4 linked regions of the Drosophila melanogaster genome follow. The protein of the gene in region 3 interacts with the protein of the main gene of each other region in a pairwise test. Each region holds a gene or a part of one and is shown on either strand. Other genes may lie near its edges.

Region 1 (4,928 bases), on a different chromosome or scaffold from region 3:
TTTCATCAATGCCAGCAGACGATGATTGTATAAGCCCCTACTCCTGCTCCGACCTCCGAACTGCGAACTCTGAGATCTCCTCTTTCCGTTCCCACAGTGCCCCGTCGACGAGTGTTTATTGGACACAATTAGTGGATGTGGCATATTGGCTTCGTGCCGGGTCGCCTTGGTTGTTCGATCGTTCCATCGTTTGGGCTGTCTGATCTCGGGTTTTTGGGTGGTTGGCAGGGGGACGTGGGTCAAACGGGCGCAGAAAGTGTGCCCCGCGTGCCACACTCGTGGCCGAGGTTGAGTACTCAATGCCCAGGCTGAGGTGAGGTGGGCCTTGTGCCGGAATGTCTACCTATGGGATGCACATAGTTAACTTCCTGCAACCCCCTAATTGGTAATTAGTAATTTTTCACCGGTTAATTGATGTGCACTTTTCAAATATCTTGTCTTATGGTAAATGTGGTTTGTTCAATGTGTGGCTCATCCTAATAAGATTGTTAAAGTAATCATAGGATACAAAAGTTTTCTTTGAATTTAGTTAATAGGAACTTATAATGTCTGGCGTATCTTTCTAAACCCATTTTTAATTAGCTAATATTAAGTGCTTTTGGTTTCGGAATCTTGGGTTTCGCATGCAAGTATGGTGTATTAGAATTCCATTGAGTAAATTTCACTTTCGAGTTAACTTTTATAAACTCTGTTTCTATTAGGAAACTAATCGACCTCTGACATCGATGCCTACCTATGGGATTTGTGTCCCTCCCTTGCAACCGCCTAGGGTATGCTACTTCCTCACTTAATAATTGAGATGGATTTGTATATCTCCCTTACAAATCTTGAGGGTTCTTAATATTGACATTTTATGGGTGGAAAACAACGTCATTGATTATTGTAATGGGGAGGGATACTCTCACTTCTTATAGTATTTTGGGTGTCAGAGGTTAATAATGTGGTATGAATTTGGAATTGAATACACTTACCTATGATTTTACGTAATGCTATTGCAACCCTCAATATGTGATGTAATTTAATTGATTAATTGTAAAAGAATAAATTTTAAGGGATTAAATATAATAGGGTATAATGTGTGATAAGTAATCGAGACGCGTGCTGAAACTCATTTGTATGTTTCTTGACCATTCTTATTGACCTTTTATTGGTGGAAAAATTATAATGCCGCATTTAAGGTTTATAACAATGTATTGTATTGTGCTAAAGGATGTCAAATACTTTCATTTCATAGTCTGTTGACAAAATAGTTACTGAAATAGAATATAAGTAAACACATCGTGCAAATGAAAAATAACGACCATTAAAAATATGAAATTAAATTCCTTTTTATTATTAAATGCATGCTTGACAACTAAGTGCACATTAGTGGAGCATGTTTTGCTATTATGTTTAACTGTTATTGAAACTTGTTATTAATATAGCTCGTTTAGGATAATGATGGGCTTTAAGATAATGAACATAATTTATGGGAAGTCCATTTTTTTACACGTGTCCTAAATAAGCTAGTGCACACGATCGTTTTATTATATTGGACCTTAAAGTTCGCGCATACCAACATTAAATATTTTCAATGGAATCTTCTTCCTATTGGAATTTAAAGACAAATACTGAAGTTCAATATCCCCTATTGGATTGTGCTGTAAAATAGATTCCCCAAATAATAAGATTCTTGTATAATTTCATTTCATATTTTGATTTGTATTTAAGTTTTTCATTTTGTATCTTTTCATATTGTGTTCTTGAGATCTCTTAGCTGGTAAACATTTGTATATATGTAGAGTAAAAAACAGACTTCTGCTCGATTGATTTAAGACAAAAGTTAATAAAGCGTGCCCTATCACAGACTTAACTTAGAAACCTAAAACTTGGTAACGTAACAAATAAATGAGGATCATTGTAAAGCATTTTTTCTAAAGCTGCGGTTCCAATTGCGTGATTGCCCGTCGGGAATTCAGTCCTTCCAAGTAGATCTTTGTTTACCAGGGACGCCACACCTGTCCGGGGCTGCTGATCTGGAGCAGAGACTCGTTGTCGCTGGCATATCCACTGGAAACGGGACTGATGGAGGAGCAGGAGCTGGCACTGGAGTAGGTGCTGGAGCTAGAGCTGGATCCACAGACGATACTGAGTGGAGTGTTGACGGCTTGCGGTTGTTCCATGGGCTGCTCCAGTTGGTTGAGACGCATGCCCAGATGGGTCATCAGTGTGGTTCCAAAAGCCACATCCACTCGGGGAAGGGAGGCCAGGGCGCGGGACACTTCGTTGGCTGCCCGGATGTATCCAGCACGGAAACTCTGTTCGGGATTGGCCGGAACATGCTTCTTAGACTCTTTCAGCTTGCGGAGATGCTGCACGGTGACTTCCAGGATGTCGGCCTTCTCGAATTTGGCATCGCCAGTCTGAGCAACGCACTCGGCCATCAGATCCTTGAGCTCGTCCAGGCACTTGTTGATCCTGGCACGACGCTTCCGCTCCAGCAAGGGCTTCATCACCTTGCGGTACTGATAGGTTTTCGACATCTCGTATTTGGTGGCCATTGTGTGTTTGTTTTGTTTATTTGTTGCGTTTAGGTAAATGGAAGAACGACTTGTTGAAGAACTTCTTCGATCTTTCGGAGGAGGTTATCCTGAGATGTTGACTGCACGACGATTGCGTTCGAAATGTTGCATTCGTCTCCGGTTACCGCTGCTTTTATAGCTGCACGTGCCGCCGCGAGAGCGTCTCGTGCTCAGCGCACGCTGCTCGGAGAAAGAGAGAAGAGAGAGCTGCGGAGCCTCCGAAGAACCACCACCTGCGGAGCAAACTACTTTTACTCAGTCACTGGGACACGATCCTCTCGCCTGCATTTTCGGTGGTGGGTTTTTCTCCACAAACAAGTTTGGAACACACCTGCGGTAAAAATAGTATGAGAAATGTGTTTAAAGCAGCTATAGTTCTTCGAGCGAATATACAAATTTGTTGTTATATACCTAAGAAGTACGTTACGTTTTTAACAATTACTTCAAATGGGTTTCCCTTAAAGCACTTAAATGTCGTTTTATTAAACAAAAAGAAATTAACATAATGTTATACGTTTACACCTAAAAAATTAAATTAGCACACTTCTTAATAGTAGTGATTTTGAAAATATAAACATTATCTAGAACTTTAAATATGTTCTCAGTACTATTGCTATGGCCACTGGTGTTCGGTGTAAGTGAGTCTCGGCAGGGGATGAAGATGCGATAGTGCAGTGGTGGTGGTGCGACGGTGGTTGCACATGCTGCTTCTCTGTTTTCCTTTCCACTGACATTCGAATCGTGGGAAACACTTTGCCCTCAAGTTTCCCACAAGATTTTTCTCGCTCGTTGGTGTTATAAGTTATAATCGGAGGTAGCCCGTGTGCGAGTCCCGAGTCCGAGCTCCGAGTTCCGAGCCCTTATGCACATGGCACAGTGGGCCAAACCGATGAAACACATGCGGGAATTTTGAGGGTGCCTTGCTTGAATGAATTCTTCAAGGCTTTTCCAACTACGTGAAATTTAAGGTTTACGGAATTTACGCATACTGTTATCTACTTGCTAGACAAAGTTTTAGCAATTTCTGTAGGGATCGTGGGAATGCGAGTTTTGGGATGTCGGAAATGGGGTTTTCCAAGGCGAAGATGTGTGCAATTTTGGGACTCGCAGGTTTGGAAATCAGTATCTTACGGATTTTTTGTTGCCTGTTCTCAACTTGCTACGGTTAATTTGAGAACCTCTATTCAAAGTCGTGGGAATGTGAGTTTTCGAATGTGATTTTTGGGGTTTTACCAAACGGAACATGCGTGCAATTTTACGACTTGCAGGTTTTAGAGTAAGTGTTTATGGATTTCTCGATGTGTTTCTACTTGTAAAGAATTTTTACTAAACTATCTGCTATGTTGGAAAGGTACATTTGTTCCTAGAGGTTTTTCTAGGCATATATAGTCCGAGTATAGGGACTTTTGTGAAAGGTGTTTTCTACTTGCTACGGATAATTTTGTTAGCTGCGACGGTGAGTGGGAACCTGAGTCTTGAAAAACATTAAGGTTCGTGAAGGTTGCAGTTTACAGAATATCTATGTATGGGATTACTGTACCCAGATGGGTGAAATAAAGAAATATTTGGAAAAGATGTTCTTGTCAGGTTATGATGTTTAAAAAATTTCTAAAAAAAGAAACCATTTTGTAGTTTGTAGCTAAAAGCATCTAAAGATTGTGACAAGACCCTAAATTGTTTTCAACCAATTTTCGTTCCATTCGAACCACTGTAAATCTGACCGAGCTGCTAGTGCGAGTCACGGGTAGTGCTGAAAAAACTACCACCTGCCCTTTATTTTATTTAATTTTTTCTTGTCCATCGTGGGCCCTACACATATCGCCCTCTCCCTCGCTCCTGCTCTTGTCAATTATGAATGCTGAATTGTAGCTTCTGTTGAACACTTGGGCCCTGGGTTTCGTTTCGGATGGCATCGGTTGGGATCGTCCATCGCTAAGTGGCATACATATACGCGTATGGTATTCCTGCTCACGTCGGGACATCATCATCGTGGGACCCAGGTCCCAGAAAAAGGGATGATTGTTCGATGGATCGACGAGGGACATGCAAACTAAATGACTGTACGGCAAATTGACACACACTAAAGATTAAATGTATCGCATTCGTTAACTATATAAACAATATACGTGGCCGGTTTGAGGAACGCTGGCTGCGGCAGGAAGTGTGTGTGTGCAGTGCACTGCGTGCTGAGAGTGTGCTGAACAACGGGCCGTTACAATTTTTCTGGCGACTGTGAGAAAATTTCTCGAGCTGCACATGGCCAGCTCCGGGCTTTTGTTGTTGTTTTTTCCACTTTTTATTAAGTAGGGGCAACCATTTGGGCACGCATCGGGGTTGGCTTATTGTCAATGCATCGCTATAATCGCT
Region 2 (6,475 bases), on a different chromosome or scaffold from region 3:
TAATTGATTTTTCTCACCAGACGCCGTACTCTCCGGTCATTGAACGCATTATAGAGCGATCTCTATCTCCATCTTCCCATCGGTATCTGTATCTGTATCTGTATTTGTACCTTTAGCTGTATCTGTATCCGTATCTCTGGCCCAGCTTCAATGTCTATTTATACGCGAGTCTAGTTCCTGACTCCAAGCCCGATCCATTTGGCTGGCAGTTGGACCAACAGTCATTTGGCTCTCTTTGTTTGTTGTCATCCCGTTCCGACGACCCCAAGTCACTTATCAAATCTCTGACCTGCTTTCCGCCGGCTGCTGATTGAAAATTGTCACGCGTAAATTGATTTTAATGCGGCGATCCGCTTAAGACAATAAGAGTGCACTACGTGAAAGGGTAGTTTTCCGATCCGTACTACAAGTATACTCGTATCAAAAACCATCGATCCAATCGCTTTACACGCTTTCCACGCATCTAAGCTGAGCCTAACTTTGTGCACATAATGCTACCCCAAAGATCACTTAATAAACCACAATTAAAATTAATCTTTAGCTAACCAAAATCGTATTGAGACTTGGTTTTTTACATTTCACTATCAAGCCATTCGAACTTATCAAGCAATTTAAATTCATTTACATATCGATATTTTTAAATCATCATATTTTTGGGCTTTGAACCAGAACCCTGAACCCTCATATGTGTGTGCTGATATCATTATCAAAAATGCTGTAATTTAATATGCGGGTATGTTCCAGTATGTTATCATAATAAAGCCTTTATTTTTTCTTCGAAATATGTACATATTTACATTGGCTACTTTTCCGCTGGCCCGCTGGTATTATGTTTATAAAGCACTAAAGCGGCAACAAATTGCTTTCCGTGAATCTGCCCGAACGTAATGCAAGTGGGCGATGCAATGGCGTGCCTATTCCCCTGGCCGACTTGAGGTTGCCTGACACGGAAACAAGTCGAATTGAATGTAATATAACCATCGAAAGCGAAAGCACCGCTTAAATCTGACTCATAGATGGCGCCGTCAAGAGTACTTGGCCCCGCATTGAGTACATACAATACATTTCGCTATCGATGGGCCAAAGCGGATGATCCATTCGCCTTGGCGAAACGATTCGGACTTGGAATACATGATTAAGATATATACTTCCGTCTGAAAGTTGCTTATAGTTCCCCTCTTCGCTTGCTTATAATCCTCTTCCCCCTTGCTCTTTCGCAGATGCCGCTGGCCACGTCGCTGGAGAAGGACTCGATTCGCGAGGCCTACGAGGATGTACGCTCCGATCTGACAGACACCGAGTGGGCGGTATTCAAGTTCGATGGCGCCCAGATTATTGTACATGCGCGCGGTCAGTGCTTTGAGGAATTCCGACAGCAGTTCGGCGACTCGGAGCGCGCCTTTGGCTACATACGCATCCAGATGGGTGACGAGATGTCCAAGCGCAAAAAGTTCATCTTCCTGACGTGGATCGGGCAGGAGGTGGGCGTCATCCAGAGGGCCAAGATGTCCACGGACAAGGCGCTGATCAAGGATGTCCTCAACGTGAGTAGCCAATAGCTAGAGATGCCAGAGCCCAGAGGCAGAAATAGATCCTCTCATCTCTAATCTCTTGCAGAATTTTGCCGTGGAACTTCAGGCGGGAGTGGAGGCCGAGCTGGACATTGAGCTCTTCCGTGAAGCACTGAACCGTGCCGGCGGCGCCAACTACGGAACGGGCATCCGGGATAACTAAGCGGCCTCCAAGTTACTTTACATATACATTTTTTTTTGCAACTCTTAACTGCTTACCAAACTGCTCCTTTCTCTTTAATTATTATGAATTAATTTTATGAAATTTAAAAACTGTACATTTTATGAAATATTATACAAGCAATTGTAACATTACTGGGTCCTCTTATTTATCGTATAATCATAATCCATAGTGTCATTCAAAAAAGGTAAAAGAAAAGTTTTCAATACCAAATTTCAAGAGCGGATGCAAAATCATTATCAATGCCATACATTTAATTGTGTATATAGTGGGACTGATGAATTACTTTGATGATAAGACAAAAATTTTAGCCACCTAATACTGAATACTGAAGTGGACAGATATGCCAGAATTTGCATTAGAAAATTCAAGTTTCTATAGTAAAGAAATGTTCTCGTTTAAACTAGTCTGGTTTTCTGAACATACGCTGGATGGATCGATTCGAATTTAATAAGCGCGAAATGAAAATGGACTACGTTGTTGAACTAAATACTACGGAGATGATGAAAATGATGAGAAAAATTATCTAGTTGCTTTAGTTCCCGGGCTCTGCCTCTCGCTTCCTAGCGGACCCTGAAGAGTACCGAGTGAAGTGCATCGATGTCCACCTCCACGCCAGACGAGTTTGTGGTCACGGTGCGAGAGCTACGGCCGAGAACGTTGAACAATACTGCTTGGTATCTTTAAAGCATATCACTCACCTGGCTTTGTGCACCGAGCGACGGGAGGAGTGCGGATTAACCAGCACACAGTGCATGGGCTGGTCATCGAACTGACGATGGTGATAGGTATCTACGGCCTTCTCGGCATGTTCCAGTGACTTGTAAATAACTTCGGCGGTGCCGGGACGCACCACACGAGCGTCGTACACTGGGCCGATGTCGCTAAAAAGCTCGCGAATATCCGCAGTAGTCACGTTAGTATGCAGATTGCTCACCAGCAGGCGGTATCCATCCTTTGTGTTCGACGTACGCAGCGACAATGGGGATGGCGAACGGCGCTTGTTCTTCGATGGAGCAGCTGCATCACCATCACTATCAGTACCGCTATCGCTATCCCTAGCACCACCGCCACCAACAGCCTTTCTCCGGTTCTCGTTGGCGTAGATGCCATGAGAAATGTGAGGATCCCTCTTACCGACAAACAGACGAGACCGCAGCGATTCTGGGAGTTTACTTGTGCTTGCTGTGTCGCGGTGGCGGCGCTCGAGAGGCTCCTTGGTGGTATTTGAGCGTCCAACTACGAGTCGGTTGGTCAGCGAAGGACGCTCAATGCGATTGCGGGCCGCCTCGTAAATGGAGAATGCATTGTTATCTATTTTGTTATTTAGTGGGGCCATGGACATCTCCACGTCGTCGCCGCGGTTCAGGTCGAGCCCACCAATTGAGTAGCGTGGCGACGCTTGCTTCATTTGCCCTAAGTGCAGTGTGCGAGATATTTCCTCTGAAAGTAGAAGAGTGCTTTTTAGGAACGGCTTGGCAGAGAAAGGCACTAACTAACCATCCTCGAGGTCCTGCATATTATCAAGATCAATATAGCGTCGTGGAGCAAAGGGTTTGCCCGGCTTATGGGATCTGGGGTCAAAGGTTCGACGCAAGCCGGACAACATGTGGTTACCCAGTTCAACGACCCCGTCGTCCGAGTCCCATTTCGCCTGAATGGTGCCGTCCGCATGGTTTGACATGCTAAGGCGGTGACCAAACTGACCGATGTGCACTCCCTTTCCGCGTGCGCGATGTGATGGCTCAAACGACTCTTCTTCGTCATCAATAAGTATTGGGCCCGCCGAACGGGCCTTCTTTCGCTCCAGCAACAGCTGGCGGGCATCGATGCCCGAGTCGCGCACGCTCTTGTTGATCAGATCCCGGGCATCGGCTATCTTGGCCCGTGTCTTCGCGGCGATCGTGTTTCTGGCATCGAAGGTGCGCTTTGCCGGCGTATCAGAGTGAGATCCTCGGGCACCCGATGGCTTGAAAAAAGGCTTGTTCAGCAGCTGGCGCGGCTTGGAGAAGTTCGCATTGCTGCAATGGAAAACGCATTGAGTGACATTCTATTTTTTCGGCTGTCCTGTAAATGTACTTACAACTTTCTGTCGAGGGGACGATAGCCGCGTTGCCCGCGCTTCCGCTCTATAATCTCGTCCAGACTCAAATCGATGTCCATGGCTCACAGTATACGCTTTTCACACCTTTTCCTAAGCTATGTGTGAAGTAAAAACAACCAGATTCAAATTATCCTGACTATTCGAACTACGTTCGTAAAAAAAAAATAGGACTGGCGTTTCACTGGTGACACTTGGGGTGGCAAACTATCGTCCAGCACTATCGATAGCAACTATCGCTTAAAAACATCTATGTTATTCTGGATATAAAATGTAAAAAAGAAACAGCAATATACTAACACTTATACAAATATACGATTAATACTATTAAACTACTTGTTCATTTACAAAAACAATTTTTGCATGTCTTAACATTAGTTTGTAGAAGATTGAAAATTCTCAGAACTGTCAATGATATATTAAGCTACATAATACGTTTTATCCACTGACATTACGAGTCACTAATTCACAGTGTGCCCCTTCGCACAACCGAGAACAATCGCGCTTAGGTGCTAGCCGACGTCTGGTCTGGTAACACTGATACCTGCGCAACAACAAAAACAACACCACATACTAAAACAAAAACCTCCGTGTGCTCTTCAGTCCTTGAACGCTCACCGGGACTGCCATTGTATGACTTCGATGAACAGAATTTGGCTTCACACTCTCTTCCTTCAGTGTAGGCCATGAGTGCGCCTCTTTTCACCCTTTAGTCGCTTTTTACGACAAGCCGGGAACGCTCAGGTAGTATTCTTCACTCGCCACCACACAGGACACCTGTTCGGGTTTAGCCACCTTCTCTGTTGGCCATCTCGTCTGATCGGACACGTTTAATCATTTTAATGATTAGACTGTGTCCCAGCTCCCATGCCTCGCTCTTTGCCAATATAGCTGCGAACAAGCCACTAGGGCTGAACGGAGCACCTGACTTCGTCTTTAGCTGCTCCCTCTCCATCGCAAACCTGGAGCAGTGCATTAGCACATGCTCTTCTGTTTTCTCACAAATGACGCAGAACAATCGACGTAGATAGGCCCGAATGCAGCCATGGTCCGTGTGAAACTGGGTTAGGTGGTAGTCCAAGCATTTGTGTTGGCACTCTGCCCAAACCGCCGACTCAGGAATGAGCTGGTAAGACCACCTGTTCTGCCACTCACCCAACAGCCACTCGTCGGTAAGCGCCACCCCGCTTTAGGCCGAGAGCCTTGATCTCCGATCAATTGGCGGCCTGCCAGAGTTAGTGCCGCGTCTTCACATATTGTCCTGAATCCTCTAATGAGCCTGAGGGCCATGGCTCCTTTCAGGTATGAACCCCTGCTTGTAGCATTGCTACAGATTGGTGCAGCGTACAGCAGCGAAGCCAGTTTCCTGGCCAGATAGCTTGGACCACCGATGTTGGGCACCAGTCTAGCCAATGAAGAAACTGTGACTGATGCATTCTTGCTGCCGTAACTCGCGTGGTTCTATCATAGCACCCAGGTACTTGAGGGACTCTTGGGAGGTCACCTGTGTCGCATTGACAGAGGACTAGCATATTCTCCACCTTTTTCCTGCTGCTTAGTACTTACTGCTTCGGTCTTGCGAGCCGCTATTGCTAGCCCGGCTTTCCAGTGGACGGCAGCTCCAATCGTGGTGTTACATTTGTCCTGCAACTCTGCAATTGTTTTGGCGACTGCTGTAATTGCCGCATCGTCTGCAAAACAGTGCAGCTCTACTCCCAAGGGCCTGTTGATGCTCCTCTACTATCGTATCCTCGTCCAGTCCACTGCAGGATAGTGCTATTCTTTGAGCTGCCGCACAGATGCCAAATCATTGACCGTCGCCTCTAGATCGCTTTTATACTTGGGAAAGCTTCCCGAGGCTTTTCCCACTACTTCGAGCAACAGCTCATCTAGCTGAGTTCTCCGAATTCTTCTGCCCAGTTCGCTAAGGCTCGGGTCCGATCTTAGTTTCCGGAGCATCTCTGCGTACCAAGCCTCACCCGTCTTCTTCACGATCCGTGCCTCAGGCTTTTTACGCGGGCGCATAGGCTTCACCTTGGTCCAATATGCACTCGTGCTAGCATTCTTGGCGACAGATGCGTAGCTGCCTGTATTGGACTCGTTTGATCTGGATGTCGCCTTCCCTTCTCCTCTACCAGTCGTGCGGTTTGAGCGCCAGAACTTTGGGCACTTGTCCCTTGGACACCTGCGCATTGTGAGAAGCGTTTTTGGTAGGCTTTTGTACTTTAGTCTGGGTAGCAATGCTCGTCAAGCGGTGCTCGCTAGTGACCCCTTCGTACAACTCTATCATCTTGTTAAGGGCTGAATGTTCAGAAACTAGGCTCTTGGTCTCTCTTGTGACGGTTATGTCGGTTAAGTCTCAAATGCGGATAGCAGCAAGTTTATCTTGCCATTCATCCTGGTGAGTATGCACTTCAGGTCGTTGTTCTGGAGAGCCGTGGTCAGGTCCGAAGACCGATTAGGGGATCCAGCTGGCTACATACGCAACCAGATGGGTGACGAGATGTCCAAGCACAAAAAGTTCATCTTCCTGACGTGGATCGGGCAGGAGGTGGGCGTTATCCAGCGGGCCAAGATGTCCACGGACAAGGCGCTGATCAAGGATGTCCTCAACGTGAGTAG
Region 3 (9,784 bases):
CGAAGAACCAAAAGATAAATGCTTAGACATCGTCTGCCCCTCTCTATTTTGTTTCGAAATATCTTTTCGGGGTTTCTGTTTTTGTTTTCCCCACATCAATCAGAGAATGCTTCGTTCTTTCCATTTCTCTTGTGGGCAAGCATTGAAAAGGGAAATTTCTTTAGCCCAATTAAATGAAAAGAAACCAAATCAGGTTATTCCATGAATTTTGAGCTTATTTCTGGTTCTGCATGTTTGTTTGGCACTGATCGTTCTCTTTGAAATTTTATTTCGCCACAAGACTTAAATGCATTATACAAAAATTGTTTTTGGGAAATACACATTTTCAAATAAACAAATTCTATATATATGCAAGTTGAAGTAATTGTTAATTGGGGTTCTAAGTAATATTCACTTAAGCAAAGCTCTTATACTCTTATACTCTATTATTGACAAACCTAAATTGCCATCCAACTCTAAGTTCTTAAGTTGTCACAAAAAGTTGTCATTTTATGAACATATACAATTTATTTATTAAAGCTGTACTTACGCTTATCGCTCCTGTTTCGCTTTCTGGTTTTGTTGAATTTTTTCATTCAGAATTTGCTACGCAATTTACGCGTTTAATTTGTTGCTGCCTCTGTTCGCCGCACTCGTTTTTCTGTTATTTCACACACAATTTTTTTTATTTAATTGCACACATAATGAACAATATTAAATGCTATATTCGTATGTTTGTGCGTTGAAGACACGCACTCAGCCAATTGAAAATTGTATTTGCGGTTGGGTTTCAATACAACAAATTTATCAAGCACTCACTGAAAATGGAATTGGCACTTTAATTTTTTGTTAAAATGGTCTGAGGATCTTAACAATGATGTATTTATTGATTAAGTGTGGTTTTAATGAACTTCAAAAACGAGATTATTTAATATGTTATTAGTTTTATTCGTTTTCGTACAAGTTTCTTTAGGTTTTTGATCAGACAAATTTGTCAACCAGTTTTTTTTTTTTTAATATTTTTATAGTGTGCGAAAATATTTGTATTGAGCGTTTAGAAATTTAATAATTTTTTTCTGTGACTTGCACGACGAAAATGTGTGGATTCAACTGGGTTCTTGGACACAGGTATCTTTCAGGGAATATTGGAGGTATTGGGAACCGAAAACGAAACCGATTCGGAGCGGAGCGGAACCGAAAAGTCGAGCGACGCGTGCACTTACAGCGACGTCTGAGCAGCAAAAACTCGAGAATAACCAAAGTGCGGCTCAATTTATACGAGGAGTCGAAAAACACAGACCAGAAGATACATTTACAGATGCAGATACAGATACGCGTTCTCTTTGTGTTAGTGTATCTCAAAGATACTTCTAACCGTCACTCTCTTACGCTCTCTCTTCGCTGTGGGGGTGGTCTGTCTCCGCTGTTATCGTTATTGCCGCTCTCTCTGCGCGCTCTGTGTGTTTTGGTTATAAAAGTGTAGTAGATTTTTGGCATTTATCTGTTTTTGTTTTATTTGCATATGTTCAATATGCACGACCCACATTGTTGTTGGTGTTGTTGTTGTTGTCTGATCGCGGCGTATAGAAATAATACGTATACACATGTGTATATATACACCGAATGTACATATTATCTCTCTCGCCCCCCACTCGCACTCACACACACACACTCTCACGCACCGCACACATACAGTTGCACCGCCTGAGTTCCGCTGCCCGTCGGCACAGTCCGCACACGGTAACAATTCGAATACGAATACGCAAAACGGTCTGGCGAACTGAAAACAGCCAAAACTTTTCGCCTGCGCCGACGTCGACGTCGGCAGCGCAGCTGTTTGGAGCTGTTGGGGCTCTGTTAGGCCCCCACGCTGTTAGGGCTCTGTTAGTTCGGCTGCTCTCTCTGTTTGTTATCAGTGGCGTGCGCTCTTTTATCAAATTGGAAAGGGGATTTTGGAGATCAGACAGATCGACCTGGGTTAAACTTTCAGCATACCGGAATATTAGAATACATTACGTTTATAAGGGAATAATTGAAGTGGTTTTGATAGAAGTACCAATTCTTTCATAGAAAGACCTTTATTTTGATTGAAATTCGACAAGTTTGACTTTCTCTTAGCTTGGCTTAGTGTTTTTTAACTTACGAATCACATGTAGTACACAATATTTATTGTTGCATATGTACAATAAAATACATTTTCTGCAAATGACTCAACCAAGATTTTTCGTCTGGGTGGGGTGGGTAATATAAAAAAGTGAAGAGAAGTGATGGATATTCTAAGTCTATGATTCGATTGATTAATTTCTTATTATGAGCTATACATTATTTTCACTAAGGCATGAGGAACAGCTTAAAGCCTGAAAGTTTTGCATTTCAAAGAAAAGTGTTTATGATGAGGAATTTTGGTGGTTTAATGTTCGTTACATTAATGCTCGTTACATTTTAGTTAGTTCCAGCGAAGTACTAAAAAGGAATACTTTTTGCAAAACGTGCTAAATAGTTTCTATAAGTTGCTTTGTGTGTTTACCAAGTGATTTTTGCGATTAAGGGTTATCTCTTAGGTTATGCATCTGCTGTCTGTCGGTGCAACTGACTTTACAATATAGTCTACAGTCTTGGAGGCTAATGGAATTCAGTTTGCGAAATTCCTCGAGTAACTCTCTGGTCGCCTATTAATATTCATATGTGCAAAGTACGTATCAATTGCATATTCGGCGCAAGGTCGTCTGCCAAGCGGCCAGATAGATAGGCAAACTGTCAGATACGCGTACTCATGCAAAGTCTGTGCGCAATAATCAAGCAAATTGAGTGCAACGCAGGCGATGGCGCAGCCGTATCTATTGGCTACTCTTTTGGCAAACTCCCATCGATATCGGCTCGATTCGCAGCTAGACGGCTAATTACGTGACATGTTAGACGCGAAAACAAGTTAAACACGCTCGTTCGATTTGTGTAATTAATTGCAGGCCGAGACGAGCGAGAGCTCAAAAACAAATTCACCTCGAAATGTGCATTGAACTTTTGCGGTTGCTTTTCTCGCCGCCGCCGGATGAATGTTGTTTTCCCTTTTCGGTGGCTCGCTTTTTTTGTAACCAATTCTAGTTGCAATCCGCTGCTGATAACCCGCAGATGAACCCATGGGTGTTGGAGCTTCCACATTGAAGGGGGTTACGCATTCTGAGTGGGCTTGTTGGTGGGTGGGATGGGGCACGAGCAGCTGATGCAGCTGATGTGTGTGTGTCAATGTTTCAGCTTGTAAACAAACGGCAAGCAAATAATGACAAAGTCGACAACGAAACTCCAAAAGTGTTCCTTATTGTTTGTTGTATTGACTACATCGCTGGGCTTATCGCTAACCGTTGTCAGATGGAATAAACATTCACATTTATATGTGTTGCACACAATGTGGTGTGGTATGTATGTGCAGTGGGGCTTCCTTATGACGAACTTGTATATTACATATATTCCTATAAATATTAGGTATTTTTATTGCTAATAAAATAAAAAGTAGAAAAAGCAAAAGCTTGCCATACAATTACTTTTACTAATTCTTATTTCTTTAAGCGATTTCCCTAATTGTTGTTAATTTTTAATGAGCTTGATATTTTACTACTGAAAGGGGAATTGGATGGGGAAATGTTCTTATTTAATCTTGACTGAAAGCAGGAAGCACGCTTATGAATTGGATGAGTTTGAAGCGAATAGAACGGATCAAAAGTCGGAGCTGGCCTATAATGTGTGTCAGTGGTGATAAGCAAATGCGGGGGGTGGGAAAACTATTGTATAAGATCTGAACGGAGTCACTCGATTCTACTCCTCGATCGAATACAGTTTGCATTCGTTATAAGGGTACTTGCCTCTGCCACTCCGAGTCGCCCCATTCCCCGAGTGTGCCTGCCATGACTAATTAAGTAACCAAAAAAGTATGAAAAGAAGGCAAAAAGCTGCTCAAATTCTCAGCATTAAAACGTGCCGACAACTTTGTAAAGGCTGCCAAAAATGCACATTTTTATTTATATTCGCACACAAGTTGTTGGGACATGCTTTTTTGGAGTTGGAATCGATGCGAAGGGTAACTTAGCTGACACGTGAGATTTGAATTTAGCATTTGGGATAAGTGGAAAATGAGAATTATCTTGAAAGTATCTTTATTCGGATACTATTTTAATATGCATTTGATTTTTGTCAGACTAACCATAAAGATTAATCTTTAAATATGAATTAATTAGTAGGTAATAGTAACTAACAGAATAAGTACAACAAGATTTCTTAAGCTATAAGAAATGTAAATATTTAAAGATAATACGTATGTTTAAAAGAGTTAGAAATAAATTCGAAATGAATGTGAATAGATGCTTTTTATAGTCTAGCCAATAATTTGTTAATTATTTCTTAAATAGTGAATTTGCAATTGAAAGTTCCAACCATCATATTAGAGTACCAGTGGGTGTGTTTTAAGGGGCTGAAAGTCGAATTCCTGCCACATGGAGTTTCGATTCCTGGACTCTTCTGCCCGTGTGAATCATGAGCATTAAGCATAAAACCGACATTTAGCTGATTGATCTTAATAAGAATTTTTGCGGCGGGGCGGGGCATTCGGGCGGAGGATGGCTAACGGATCCGTTGGGACGGGTCAATAACATTGTGCGGATGCCTCCTTCTGATTCTCCCCCATATGCATCCCCATATGGATCCACCGATGTTGAGTCCCTGAATTTGAGGGCGTTGCTGGGCTGCGCCTGCGCAACATAACAAACTTTGTGTTTGTTTCCCCCACTCGATGGCGTTTCTTTAATAACTCAGAGTCGAAGTCAGAAATTTTTGGAAGCGAGTAGGAGCTGGGGGGTTCCCTTGTCGGAAATCTGAGTTTGCTTTGCTGAGTTATGTTGCATAGGGTTCTTTCATCCGACTTGGTGCGCGTTTGTATCTCCCAGTATCTTGCGATATAGATATATCTGCGATTTGCACCCAGAACGGATGTCTGTGCTCGATTGTTAAATTGAAATTTGTCGCCAAAAACCAGCAGAATTTGCAAAGCAAATTTCCGACCGAAGTGTCTGGCCTGTTGCATATTTCATATGTTTTGATTCTTGTCTAAAGCTACAGCTTTTTGGCGATTCCTCTGCAGATTTATGCGCAAGTGCTTAATCGAGGCAAGGATACAATAGAGGGTGGAAAAACTGTGCCAAAAACAGCAGTTTTCATTTGAAATCTTCGATAAAATGCAAGACTTCAAGAATTTCAGATTCTACGGTTTTTATTTTTATTATATACTATCAAATGAGGGTATTTTCAAGTAATTATTTCTGATTTATGCGGGTAACCATATTTTTTCTAAGAATATTTAGTGCAAACAAACAAAAAGCCCATAAATCAATTCACTTTTATTTGACTTTTCGAGTGCATTTGATTGTTGCTCTCGGGGTGAGCAAATTGCGCAATATCTACGTCGATTTTTGGCCGTCTAGCAGGCAAATTAAATCAAGCTGCACAGCCGAACACGAAATATATAACCTGATTTCGATGTCTGCAATTCAAATTAAATGCAATTAAACCGAAATTGATAGAAACAAAATCGAACGAATCCAGCAAGCTCTGCGTCTGCTTCTCCATTTTTTTTCCACGATGGCACTTGACAGCTCCTCCTTCTTTTCTGTTCTGATTGCCTTTCCTTCGTCCTTTAGACATCTCAAATTTCGTCTAGCCGAAGTCTACGCTTCTAAGGGGCTTATAAAAAAAAGTATATATAAAAAAGAACGAGACAGAAAAAGGCCCTGGACTTCTGGTTTGGGTTTGGGGTTCGCCTGTCTGCTCCCTGTCTGCTGCGTGGTTCCTTTGTGCTTGGCTTAGATGCTAGTCGGGTTTGGACCTTTTTTTTATGTTGTTTGGGTTAGTCTGCCGAAATTCTGGGTCTTTGTTTTGATTTCGCATTTTGATATCATCTTTCGGCATGTGCAAAGGGGTCGGAGGGGTGTGAGGGAATGTCGCTCTCAAAGCCGAATTTTGTATATATTATATGCGGGATTTATAGAGCTGGCAGTTAGTAGCGAGTCTGGTTGATGCAAGCCAAATTAAATAAATAATTAAATTATACATTTACAAGTATGGAGTTTCCTTGCCTATTCATAATTATTATTTATATTTAATACATTATTAATCTTTTACTGTTTTTATTATCCCTGCTGATTCACTACACAAGAATGCTGTGCTATTTTTGTAAAATAATATTATACATAGTTGTATAAAATTTATTTATATGTTTAAGGTTCCACATAATTTTTCGTACTACAAAAAACCCAATTAAGTTCTTGTTTTGTTTGGTATAGTAGACATACAATGGCTAAATTAAAATTAAAAATTAAAATTAATTAAAATCAACATTTTCAAAGGCCTTGTTATCTGAAGTACCACAATTACATTGTACCCTTTTATAGCCTTTTAACTATTGTCATTAACTATATCAGTGATAACAATTTTATGTATTTGTATTAATCTCTCATTTCAACTACTATCTATCGTTACTAACAGTTTTCTGCCAAAACGATTTTAACTTTTAATTTGATTTGACTTTAATTATTAGGCAAAGTATCATTGGAATCTCTTGGATGAACATCATTATGGTATTTAAAGCTCTTGATTTATCAGATTTCATTTCTTTGTATTAGAAACGTAATCAATGTGAGTTATTTTTATCATTTTTATTTATTAAAAATTTTAAAATTATTATTATTAAAATATATGTATATATTTGATCCGCAGATGTTTTCGCTCATCTCTGGCGAAAAATTACTCTTCCTCAATCTTTTGGCTGCCGAAAAAGTAGCCAGACGAATGTCCACATGTGCCGGGTATGTTGTATATAGTATCTGATGTCTGGACTTTTATTGTATGGCTGACCTTGAATTTATGGAAATTGCATAAGTGGGAAGAAGTTTGTCATATTAAGAAATATACTGGAAGCATAGAAAGCCGAAGGCAGTGATGGTGACATAAACGACCAGACCTTGGCATTGTGTTGAAGGACTGTGAATCGAATTATTCGAGGAAGTTGCTTGAATTATGGCTCAAGGGGGTACTTTGAATTTATGAGTATTCAGGATATTAAGAATGTCTTTTTTTTCGCCGGCCAGCACCATCCATCCATCTTCCACACCCCGAAAACCAAACGAAATCCGCTTCCTGCTGCCAAATAATTTACAACTTGCGAATGCGATGCACAGGCTATGGGAAGAAAACAAATAATGATCAGTCGCACATAATGCATGCATATATCCATGGGCATATCGATAACCCTTATCAAGTGTGCGGCATCGCGGCCAAAAATATACAAATTATGCTTACCAAAAGGCAGAGAAAACATAAATCAATGGTTTTGGAATACTCTAACCAAGACAGCAATGTATGAAACTTCAAACATTTTTCCTTATTTCCAAATTTACTTAAGAGATATTAAGATAAGTATACAAGAAGTGCAAATTTGTTGTACCTACTTAAATATTCATATGCATACATGTATGTACATACATATATGGTTATTTGCGTGTGGTTGGTCGCCTCAAGTGATGGGCGTGGCACTTTCAACTCTGGTTCAACCCATACAATCATGAAAACTCTGACCAGATCTTGCCAAAAATGAGCCCACCTTGAACCTGAGTTTATCAAATTGCAGTCATTTTGCTTGTGGTTTTTATAGTACTTTCAAATAACTGAGATTAGTTGGTCAGTATCGTTACAAAAAAAAGGGTAAAAGTGATCGACTTTTTCACTTTCCGCCAATTTGAGGATATTTGCAGAGATTTGAGTGTTGCATGATTCATAATCGAACATTTATATCATAAAAAAGTAAACAGTTCAGTTGCTTATTTATTACGCAGAATTGCCTTAAGAGTTCAATTAACCATTAAATATTTTTAGAGGTGAAACAACGTTTGCCCTCACTTAATCGACAAAATTTGAACTAATTCGAATAAAATTAAGAGTCAGAACGAATTCACGAGTGGCTAAATTATTGTTTAAAATGACCAAGGGCGTGAGGATTTGCAACGATGGATTGCCTGGTTTGCCGAATGAAAGGCCATATTCCCGAAGAACTTTAGATACGCGGCAAAAGACTCAGAAGATGTCCTCCAGGCCATCTAGGAAACCATTGCAGTCTCTACAAACTGTCGGTCGGAATACGAGTTCCAGCCTGAAGCGCATAGGAAGTCCGATCTCCGAGGAAGAATTTGGTGTCCTGGTGCAGCAGGATTGTAAGGCAGAGCAGCATCACACCGATCGCCAAAACCTGGCGGACATAATCCTTATGCAGGCCCGTCGCATCGAGAAGCAGCAGCGGGAGATGAAAAGAATAAAGGCGCACTATGAGCGCCAGGTGTCCACCATCAAGAACAATGCCATCATGCTGGAGTCGCATCTGCAAAAGGTGCTGGCCAGTGTCGAAAGGGATCGGGCCAAGCGGATTGGCCACCACTGCCAGGACATGCTCGGTGCCGTGGAGAAGCTGCAAAGGAGCGACATCCAAGTGAAGCCGCAATCTTCGGCCAACCAATTGCTGATCCAGTATCTTCACTCCAAGAAAATTTCGCATTCGACCAAGAAGTCCAATGAAAACACAAGTAGGTACAGGAATATGTTGTGAATCGTATTCTTGTGTGTACATTGTGGTTTCACTGGGTTTTGTGGTCAGCTTAAATTAGCATATATGTGTATTAATAGAAGTACAAGTTATTATAAAATAAAATAATGGCAACAATGAATTTATTTTATTTTACTAAGTTAATTCTCAACAAGGACGGAGTTGGGCACAATCATTATCTGTTCTATTCCTCGTCCTCCTCCGAGGCAGTTACATCCACGATCGCGTTAGACATGCTCTGTTGTATCTTTTGCTGGACATTGGCGTCCTGGACCAGGTGATCTGGCTGGATGTAGCACAAGTTGGCGCAGCCGAGCACCGGGCATCGGATGCCAATGCGGTCCATTATGATCGGCATCACCGAGTCGCGGTCGTAGATGTGACCGCACATTTTGTTGCGCATGGGGTTCTTTATCAGGGCCTTGGACCAGGGATCGTAGAACGAGAAGACCTCGCTGCCGGAGTCTTCCATAATAAGGTCCTCATCATAGGCGGTGCCATTCGCTTGATCATTGACTTCCGCACCCGCCTGACCAGCTGCTGATTCAACTGCTTTTACGAAGTTCTTGAACTCGTGTAGATTCTTGACATTGATGCGCTTCTGCTCCACCGCTTTGGAGCGTTCCTTCCAGACTTCCTCGAACTCCTCGATGGTGGCGCTAGAGTTTTTGACCTGATTCATAGCCTTGTTGAGCGATTGGTGCTTTATCTTCATATGGACTACATTCACGGCGTGCTCCACGCTCTGCTCAACGCTCTGCTCGAGCAACTTCTTGATCTTCCCGCCATCGCTGAAATCGGACACGAAATCTGACATTTCCTTGAAGAACTTTTTGTTTTCCACTAAAGTGGAAAGTGCGGAATCAGCAAGGTAATTGAATTCCATTTTATCCAGAATATTTAAGCCAAATGTTCAAGACTGATGGTTAGTTAGGCTAGCCTATTAATTAGTGGTCTTTGAATGGACTTATATTTATAAATAACGTTGATATTTACCTGAAATTAGGTTTTTAAGCAAATGCCACGTGGAATGTAATCGCTTAAAAACTGGAATCATCGAGAATTTATCGTAATTTACGATATCGATCTTAAATCGAAAGCACAGATTTTTCGGTTTTCGTTTCGTTCGAATTTTTCGATTTGTAAAACGGGCACTTTTATCTGGTCGAA
Region 4 (9,548 bases), on a different chromosome or scaffold from region 3:
TAATCTTTTTTCGCTTCAATGCTTTAGTTTTGTGCCTTGGACAAATGTCTGTTAAAAGTCGCTTTCTTATTCCACTTCTCGATTCCGTTTTACATTTAAGTTAGTTTTGGTTAGATGGGAGTACAGTGTTGGCTGATCTCAGCATAAGGTCTTAGGATCTAATTGCGCAGCGGAAGTTTCTAAATCGAATGCACACAGATCTAATCCAGGACACAGTGACTAGCAACGTAGACCAGCTACGTTTGCAATGGACTACCTATGACGACCCTTTCTGAATAGCAATCCCAAGTGGGAGATGCCTTAACAATAAGAACTCAAGTCTGCAGTAAAAACAAGTCTAAGTGACATTAACAAAACAAGTCGAACAATGATGTTATAATAATTTTCAAATATCAACTATAAAGTATAAACTAGGAGCATAATATATTCAAACAATTCAGAGAATGTTTAGGTTCATTGGTTAGTTTACCCACACTAAAACGTACGTGCTTCCTTTCGATAGTATTATATTCATTACGTTGGCACATCCATCGCCTAAACCTTCCATGTCCTTGCCAAGAATCCTCCAACCCAGTGCTCTCTCAATTTATCCCGATTGCTTGATACCCGTATGGAACAGTCAAAGTTCTGGAAGTCGAAAGCCTAACCCAACGAATGTGGATGCAGGTGCGAATGCTAATGGCGATGTTGGCAGTGTTTTCGCTTTTACGCATTTTTCAATTACGATTTCGATTGCGATCGTGTGATGTCTTCTGATACATACTCCCAATGGATCTACGGCTGATTCTGTCGGCCATGCGGGGGCGGTCTTTATCTACTACACATAATTTTTTAGTCTGTCGTCAGGCATTTGGCGAGCATCGAGCATCATCGAGCGTCTTGCTTATTGTTTCTATTCTCTGTGTTTAATTTTAACATTGTGCGCGATTTGTTGAACGTTTGACAACACTACAAATAACGGCAGTTTTACATGCTGATGCGGATGATTTCCGGAATTTCTTTGGGGGCAGAAATGCAACAAGATTAACAAAGAATAGGCCACTAACAGAGAGTTACGCTGTCCAGGAACTATACAAATGCGGGTTGGGGGTTCGTTAAGCAAATTAAAATGAGGAACTCACTACATAGGAAAAGAGAGACCGACCAACTACAATTAGACCCCGCGTCATCATCGTTTTTCTGGCAACAACATTTTATAGTCTCTGTTATCTATATCTCTTTCACAACTTATAGTCTTTGGGGTTAGATTAGATTTCCTGACTCGAGTGGCAGTCTGTTTGTGGGGCTATCCAACTAAATAAGGCTATTTTGGCACACAATCACAACGGAACACGGAACATCTATTGTACAACAACGATAACAACACAAGGATGGCTGATTTGGGGGCTTGCAACTGATCTGTGGGCTAAATTTTGGGGCGTTTGAATTGAATTTTGCGAATTCAGAATTCGTTAAGCTGGCTGCAGACGGTGCAGTGATATTCTTCGACGTCTCCAACCAGCCATGCTTCTGATTTATGGTAACGTCGGTCCCCGTCAATGAGAATATTGGATAAATGCTACAAAAACTGCTCTTAAGTGGTTCGCGCTTGTTGCTGTTGTTGTGGGCATGGGTGTATGTGTTTCTGGGTGTGTGGCTGCTTTGCTTTCGCCTTTTTATAATTCACGTTTACGCTTACTTCACTATTGTACAATGTGCGACTTGCATTATTATATTCTCGTAATTATTTTATATAAGTATATATGTATATATGTATGCATGTTGGTGTGTGTTTGTGTGTGTGTTCTTGTGTCGAGCTGCTGGGCTACTCTTATTTTGGGTTTTTCCATTTTTTCGTTTTGGTTTCTGTAAAATGCGCTAGTTTATTGATACCTTCTGTGGCGCCCAACGTGGGACAGTCATGAACCTGTGGGTTTGCCCGTCTGCCTGTCATTGGCACTCTAAATTCTGTCCTCCTCATCCTCTTCCTCCTCCTCCTCGACCTCCTCGCCGTTCTCCTCTAGCTCCTCCTTGTAGCCAGGATGCTCAGAGATGGCATAGTAATTGCCATTGTAAATGACGCCCAGTTCGCGCAGCGCATCGCCGCGTATTGTCGCCTTTATCGTCCAGTTGTAGCAGTCGTCTGACTCGGACTCGCGATCCAATCGCTCCACGTCAAGGATCTTGGAGTTGAGGCGTTCCAGTATGATGCCGATGTCCTTGATGCTGAGGTGACGCTTCTGGTCCACCGACAACTGGTCGATCAGCAGCAGAAACTTCTCCGTCGTCGTCTTGTCGTCCTCCATCACCGTGTTCTCCGTTTCGCTCTCGGAGCTATCCCGCTCGGGAGCGATGTCCAGGAATCGCACATGGCCCTTGGCGCCCGAGGAGCGGCGTTGCATGCTGCCGCTTCCGCCGCCACCGCTGCCGCCCAGCATAGGATCCATAACCGATGGTGCCGACTGCGGCTGGGGACTGCTGCTTCCGTCCTGGATGGGCGACGTGGCCACGCTCTTGTGCACAGCGATCTTGCGCCCCTCCTCGTGCAGCGCACAGCAGTGGAAGTCGCACTCGGTGGTGCTGGGACTGCCCGCCCTGCTGGGCGTGTGGGCGTGGTGGGCGCATTCCGGCGTGTGCACATGGACAGCTCCCACACCCACGCCTACGGTGCTGTCGAAGGAGCTTCCCTGCTTGGAGAGTCGCCTGCTGCCGCCGGGTATCACAACTCCTGGCGGCAGAACAACGCCACCGGGATGGTATATGCTCGCCGGTCCGTCGTCGCTGATCACCGTTATTTGAGGGCTGGCATAGCGCGGCTGGGAGGACTGCGACGACACCGACTTGTTGTCCAGCGAACTCTGCGCGGAGAGGCCCTTCTTTGAGGGCGAGTACTTATCGGACGACAGCAGCCCATTGCTGCTGCCCAGGCCGGAGCACATGCTCCCCACTCCGCCGCCGGCGCCACCGCCTCCTCCTCCGCCGCCGCTTCCTCCACCCTGCCGCTGATCCCAGTGCAGAACGACCGTGACACGCCCTTTGTTATCCATGATCTTCCACGACGGTGTCTCATCGTGCAACTCCAGCGCATGAATCGTCTCACAGACGATTTTCGGTATAGCTGATATGGCTGTAAGAAAAATAATAGAATGAGATCCGAACCACTGAGAAATCCCAACTGAAGTTCAGTACGGAATGATGAGAAGGTCAACTATCGCCTCAAAAAATAGCTAATACGATATTCACTTAAATAGACTTGTATAAGAATCGGACGACCATGTTCTTGAAATTGTAATGACTGTCATTTAAATCTCTAAATAGCATTTTTCTTTTGTTTAATTTTTACGTCTTACGTTTTTGTTTACAATTCAATGCTAGCAGCGGAAATCTTAATAGCTTGCCAACGCATTAAAAACATGCTGAAATTTATTGCATTCAAGATCCAATGTGTCTCAAAACAGAGGATATAGTCCAAAGAATTGTTTAAATTTCTGTTCTTTAGAAATTGAATAAGTTCAGCCAACTATAAAAAGAATTTAAATTCATTCGCAAACAATTGACCTTGAAATCAATTCAAACAAGCCACATTGAAAGTTGTGCTAAGTACTAAAGTAAATGCTTGCTCTATGAATTAGTTATTCAATTTGAATGAAATTGAAAGAGTCTTTGATCAAATATCGAAATAGACTTTTTGCAAATATTTAGCTATAAGGGTAAGGCTCATAATTTACGCAGTGATAACTTATTTGAATTTAATATTGAATCTAAATGAATGTTTCCTCTGACCAGGTCTAAATCTATAATTAAATTTCCCGTGGCCAGTACTGATCCCGAGATGGGAGTGAACTTATTACACCCACCAGCCTTTATGACATCGACGCCAGTGGGATACCAGCGCTCGCCCTGCCTTAACAGCAGCAGCACCGTATTGTTGGCCAGGGTGCGAAAGTATTCGCCATCCTCGATTTGGGTTCCATCACACTCCAGAACAACGCGCACCGGTTCTGAAGCAGGAACCCCCAGCTTATCCTTGCCGCGGACCAAGAGCTCCTCGAAGGTCCCAACTACGACGCCCTTGCGCACATTCCGCCAGCTGTCCCAGATTTTCAGTGGTCTCTTGCCGCGAGACTCCTGCGAAGAGAAATTCGGATTAGTTGCGTTTTACGAATTACAATTCCAACTGCTGGCGAAGGAAGGGAAAGTGAAAGCTGAGATGTGGGAGGATGGGGATGTGGGATGTGGGATGCAGGGTGCAGGGTGCAGGATGGGCGTGACACCTGTGAAACGCTGCGCACGAAAAACTGACAAGTGGGTGTGGCAGCAGGCCCGGACTGTGTCATAATTTCCTCAGCCCGCTAATTGGGCTTCTCTGGCTTGGCCAAAAAGGGCGCAAATGTCAAGGCCACAACTGCTGCACTGCTCATATTAATTGTAGATATCTTATGGAATAAAAGTTGAAATAAATCCACGGCCCTCACATTCGAAATAAAGCAAATGCAAGTGCTAATGCTTGAAAATGGAAACATATATGTACATATAAAAAGGGCCAAAGAAAATTGAAAACGAATCCTTTTGGCTAACAGCGCGCACAGCTGTTGGCTAACAGTTGCAGGCAACAACAACAACGACCAGCCAGCCAGCCAGCCAGCCGAGCAGGACGAAAGCTGCAATGTTTAATGTATTGCAAGGACATGAGTGTGGCGCTCCAGTGACCCAGTAACGAGTGCAGCACACGAGCCATATACAAATATCTCTCTTCGGCCAACCAAGCCCCCAAATCCCCCGATCCACCGATCCCCCAGTTCATTCCCCGCCCGTTCACCCAAAATAAAATGTTTGAAAAATTACAAAAAATTCATGTTGACATTTTGCTTATTCCTCCGCACCGAAAACAAGCAGAAACTTTTCATAAAAATATTTCATTTCCCTCGCTCTGGCCAGTGTTTTGTGTGCTCTACTCGCCGCCTCATCCCTCTCCATCCAAACCATCGCACCGATTTTCCTCTTGGGATAGGTCAGTTGCTGCACCCCAGCACCATATGGCACCGAGGGAGTGCAGCGGGTCGGGGATGTGCTGGCTATTATAAATTATGAAACTGATAATACTATAAACAGCGAGCACTGCCAGTTCTAAGGCTCGATAAATCATATTATGCCGTAAAACAATTGTTGGAGAACTGGTTGAATATCGTAGCACTTTAAGATTGTGTGACTTAGCTTTAAAAAAAGGGGAAACTTTAGAAAACAAGTGGGTAATAGTACCTAAAGAAAATGTATAACATACGCTAAAGGTGATGCTTTATCTTCCCTAAGTAAAATAGTAAGATATTTCATTTCATGCAAGAAAAGAGGCAAACCAACCACCAACAGGTTGAATAATTTCAAATGAATTTCCAAAAACCATTAAACTAGTTATTGAGCAGTATTGCCCAACAAGCTATTCGATTAACCAGTGTGAAATGCATTTGAGGAGGTATTTAGAATTGGAGGTGGAATTGGAAACCAAACTGGATAAAGGACGGAATAGATTGAGTTTGATCTAGAAATGAAGGACATTTGCAGTCGATGAAAGCTAAACACTGAATAAGTATGGGTCGCAAAGCGAAACTATTACCATTGCGGACAGTCCGCCGTTTGTGACCGACGACGAGGGCCCCGTTGTGATGGCCCCACCACCCACTCCGGCCCCACCCGCCGCCGCGGCAGAGGCAGCTACGCCCTGCGTGGCCTGGGCCGCCGCCGCAGCTGCGGCTGCCACTTGTCTGATGCTCAGACAGTTGCAGAGCGGCTTCGTCACGCCCAGCGTGCACAGGGCGTTGGACCACATGGTGGTGCTGGTGGTGCTGTTGGTGGTGCTGCTGCTGCCAGCCACTTTTAGGCCGAGTCTCTGCGCTGGCTCTGCTGGCTTGCTTGCAATGGTTGGCCTCGTCGCTTCCAAGGTCGTCTTACACTTGGAGCTCCAAGCTCTGGTAATCCATGTCCGTTTTAAAAATCCGTTATATAAACCCGTAACCGATGTACGCCTTACAAAATCCGGAGTTGCGGATGCTTTTACCAAAAGTTCTACAAAAATTAAAGCTTATTGCTTATTGTTGGAGTCATAAATGCCTTGCGTTCAGGGGGAAAATTCGTAATTACAAAAATTGTTAAGGGGGTCACGAAAAAAAAAACGCACTTTGCACAAAATACAGCTTCTGGTATAAATGTTATCGTCCACGTTATTTGGTTACTTTAGTTTGTTGTAAATACTGGCAGAGTTGAAGTGCCTAGAATTTCGCTTTTCACTGCTCGTACTTCGCATTCGCATTCGCATTCGTATTTTTGGGGCAGGTCAGGGCGGGTTGACCTTCGCACTTTCACTTTACGGATACTACGCGCCTGCAGCGCCCTTTTGCCCGTGAAACCGCCGAGTTTTCATTTTCATTTGATGCTGAGTCCCAGTTATTAGACTTAATTATAGCTCGTTTTTAGAAACTTGATTTTGTAGAAAAACGCTTGATTTGTTTAGTTATAGCACCCAGTGGGAACGTGGTGTTTCCACGGGCCAAAGCAGCGTCCTTAGCTGCCTGTGTGCCTGGCAGCCTGGCAGAGCAAACTGTGAGTTTTCCCGACGAGATGCTGCATCGGATTTCACTACGGTAGCAGCTGCTGCTTCTGCTGCTGCTTCTTCTTTGACTTTTGGGGCTGGGTGCGTTTTTGCAGCGCGTTAACAGCGCTTGAAATGAGCACGAGGCATAAGCGCGAGAGAAGTGCAGTGAGAACGAGGTGAAATGCAGCACAAAGCTTTGCGAGAGCGAGTAGGACAGGTGGAGGAGTGGGGGTAGAAATCCCGTTACTACTATCTAGTCAATTTAATGCCTTCAGTTTTTAGGTCCCCAATTAAACCGTATTTGTTTTATCCACCCCACTATTTCCCATTTACTACCTTTTTTTCCATAATTTTCGATGTTTTAACAGGTAAAGATATTTCGTCGTGCTTTGGCCTACATTTGCATCAATGTGATATAATCAGGACGCCAAAGCGCGCGCACCTTCTCCCTCGAAACGCTTTACCAGCATTTCATAAGATCCCATCAGTTTGATTTTGTAAACATTTACTTCCAATCAACGGCGTTCAATTAATAGTGTTGCTATTGGATTGTGTGCCCCAGGAAAATATTTAGCTTTCTTTTAGACCTGATCTTGCTCGACATTTAAACTCTAGCATTAAACATTGAAGTCTTTTAATAAAAAGGGTGAGACAGAGAGAGAGTGATGCACTTTTATATGAAGCTCTCTACCTCTCGCAAAAGCATTGCCAGCTGTAAATGTGAATGGATAACAGAGCACTAAAACTCCTGTAATTGCTGCTGGCCGAGATTTTTAATTGCAGTAAGAAGAAGGAGAGATAAAGTTGTTTTGTTTATCCTAAATAATGCCAGATCAACTGCCAACTGAAAGCCATCTCGGCTGCATTTTTATCAGCTCTTAAAGGAATTCCAGCGCTTTGGGAATTCGCAACTAATTTATTTTTGGAGACATCCTCTCAAAGCAACAATTTTGGAAAGGCCAGAGAGCGAAATTCCTTTCAAAGGGGGCGCGAGAAGAGGAAGAAGAACAACAGTTGCAGCCACACGTGGGATGGAGGCGGCGGGAAAGGAGGGCGTTGGGGGAGTGGCACATCTGTGAGGCGTAAGTATTACCTCAGTTATTTGGGTCAAAGCTATTCACTCACCCGCAAAGCAAAACGAAACGAAGGAACTGCATAAAACATGCACAAACACACACACATATGCAGAGCAGGAGCTTGAGGGACACGCACACAAAGAGACTAATGCGGGCCACAGGCTTAATAGGTTTCTCTAGCGGATGCGGACGCGAGTGCGGAGCATCCGCAGCGATACGCCTTGCTAGATACACTCGCCAAAGGTTGTCATATGAAAAATTCACATAGATGGAGCAGAGTGCCTGTAGTTTAGGCCAGGCATGAATCGTATCCATTGCACCCATACTCAAGCAGCAAAATAAAAATTTGCCTAATCTTCTCTAGAAGTTGATTTATTCATGCATCCTGTTGTGTTGCTCTATAAAGAACCTATCTTTCGTTCAGCTGACCACGTAAAGAACAAAATATCTACAAAGACCAAGTCAAAGAAATATTAAAATATATTATAAATTTTACTTTGTTCAAATTGCATGTTATTAAAAAAAATCTATTACCTAGTATTATTTTTGATTATTTTGTTTCTACTGCTTAATTAAAAAATTCATTCCTACAGAGAATAATTATTTGTTACACGCAGCATTTTTATTATTAAGTTGTAGTGTTGGGTTAAACTTCTTTGGAAAAATATGACATAGGGTTAACTGTTTTAATGTTGGGAGAGGCTAACACCGTTGGTTGCAGATGTGAATGATGGGGGATGGTGATGAAGTGAGAACAGCTGATTTTGGCAAAGTAACTTGCGGTACCGTGGTGATCGGGAAAACTAAAACGGTTAAGCCGTAGTTGCCGGCTTTGCTTTGCTTTTAGCACGTTTGCACTTACCTCTCTGGCCATTACGACATGTTATCACCAGCGGCACCCGCTTAGAGGGTCTGCCATTTGCTCAGCGGCAATAACAACAAAAACAACACGGGAGCGCCTCTTAGAGCGAGGGAGTGGGAGAGGCAACAACAAAGCACACGCTTTTCGCGATACGAGAACTCTCGTGCGTCTACTTAAGTATGTGTGTGTGTAGGCGGCAAGCGGTATAGACGGAGAGACAGAGAGAAAGAGTGTGGGAGGAGTGTGTGCGTGTGAGTGTCTCAAAAATTCTCTACTACACGTTTATTTTCAATCTTCTCTTCCCGCACATTTCTCCAACGCGCCGATGCTGTTTCGTTCTTCCTCTTGCTTTTCTATCCTGTCCTTTGGCTTCCTTTCCTTCTTCCTCTCCACACCAATCACTGCGTGGGTATGTGTGTATAGGTGTGTATTGGAATTCGCAAAGGTATTTGATTAGGAAAGCTGGGATTTGTTTAAACAATTAGCATGCATCACTTTTTGCAAATTTGTTACAGTAACTTGGGTCAACCCACGCCCACTTTTATAGGTGCGGCTGTTGGGCAGGATTTGCTTTTTGGCAGTGGTGGTGGTGTACGTGTGCGGGATGCTTCTGTGTGCGTGCGAGAGAGCACATTGGAGTACCGTTATCGCTGGAGCCACATTTTCTTATTTGACATACACTTTTTTGTTGCACACGCACACGCGTTTCGTTGTTTTTTTTTTGTTACTTTAGTAAAATTTATTTTCTATACTCTCTTTCTTGAAAGCTTTCTTTTAACCGTTTTTTGTCCTTATCTCTTGGTATGTACGACACACACGCTTCACATACGTTCTAGTTTTTGGCAGTTGTTCAATTGTTCGAATTAATTCCGATTTCGGAATTTGTTGTTTTAACGATTTATGAGTTTTTTCGGTGCGGAAACAATAACATTTAATTCATTTTAAGCCGAGAAGAAATGCAAATCAATTTTTATTTTCGGCAACACTCGAAGAACTATCGTTATCGATTGCGATTTCTTTTACCTGTAGTATTTCGTGTAACATA

The links.
Region 1: the proteins of CG6333 (region 3) and E(spl)m7-HLH interact in a two-hybrid assay, tested with the Drosophila melanogaster proteins (one large-scale study listed by BioGRID).
Region 2: the proteins of CG6333 (region 3) and CG18259 interact in a two-hybrid assay, tested with the Drosophila melanogaster proteins (one large-scale study listed by BioGRID).
Region 4: the proteins of CG6333 (region 3) and Drep2 interact in a two-hybrid assay, tested with the Drosophila melanogaster proteins (one large-scale study listed by BioGRID).

The regions. Positions count from the first base shown.
Region 1 is NT_033777.3:26,034,775-26,039,702, reverse strand, and holds E(spl)m7-HLH (enhancer of split m7, helix-loop-helix), read right to left. Parts: upstream 2,666-4,928; 5' UTR 2,541-2,665; coding exon 1,980-2,540; 3' UTR 1,684-1,979; downstream 1-1,683. UniProt on the Drosophila melanogaster protein: Participates in the control of cell fate choice by uncommitted neuroectodermal cells in the embryo. Transcriptional repressor. Binds DNA on N-box motifs: 5'-CACNAG-3'.
Region 2 is NC_004354.4:18,779,461-18,785,935, forward strand, and holds CG18259 (uncharacterized protein), read right to left. Parts: upstream 4,035-6,475; 5' UTR 3,916-4,034; coding exon 3,836-3,915; intron 3,774-3,835; coding exon 3,253-3,773; intron 3,196-3,252; coding exon 2,454-3,195; intron 2,398-2,453; coding exon 2,316-2,397; 3' UTR 1,805-2,315; downstream 1-1,804. Other genes in the region: CG6891 (uncharacterized protein), read left to right, coding at 1,221-1,544, 1,618-1,734.
Region 3 is NT_037436.4:17,479,078-17,488,861, reverse strand, and holds CG6333 (uncharacterized protein), read left to right. Parts: upstream 1-2,631; 5' UTR 2,632-2,671; intron 2,672-6,559; 5' UTR 6,560-6,657; intron 6,658-6,738; 5' UTR 6,739-7,996; coding exon 7,997-8,617; 3' UTR 8,618-8,733; downstream 8,734-9,784. Other genes in the region: qjt (quijote), read right to left, coding at 8,799-9,500.
Region 4 is NT_033778.4:9,291,825-9,301,372, reverse strand, and holds the start of Drep2 (DNA fragmentation factor-related protein 2), read right to left. Parts: upstream 6,579-9,548; 5' UTR 5,804-6,578; coding exon 5,591-5,803; intron 4,108-5,590; coding exon 3,837-4,107; intron 3,107-3,836; coding exon 1,941-3,106; 3' UTR 1-1,940.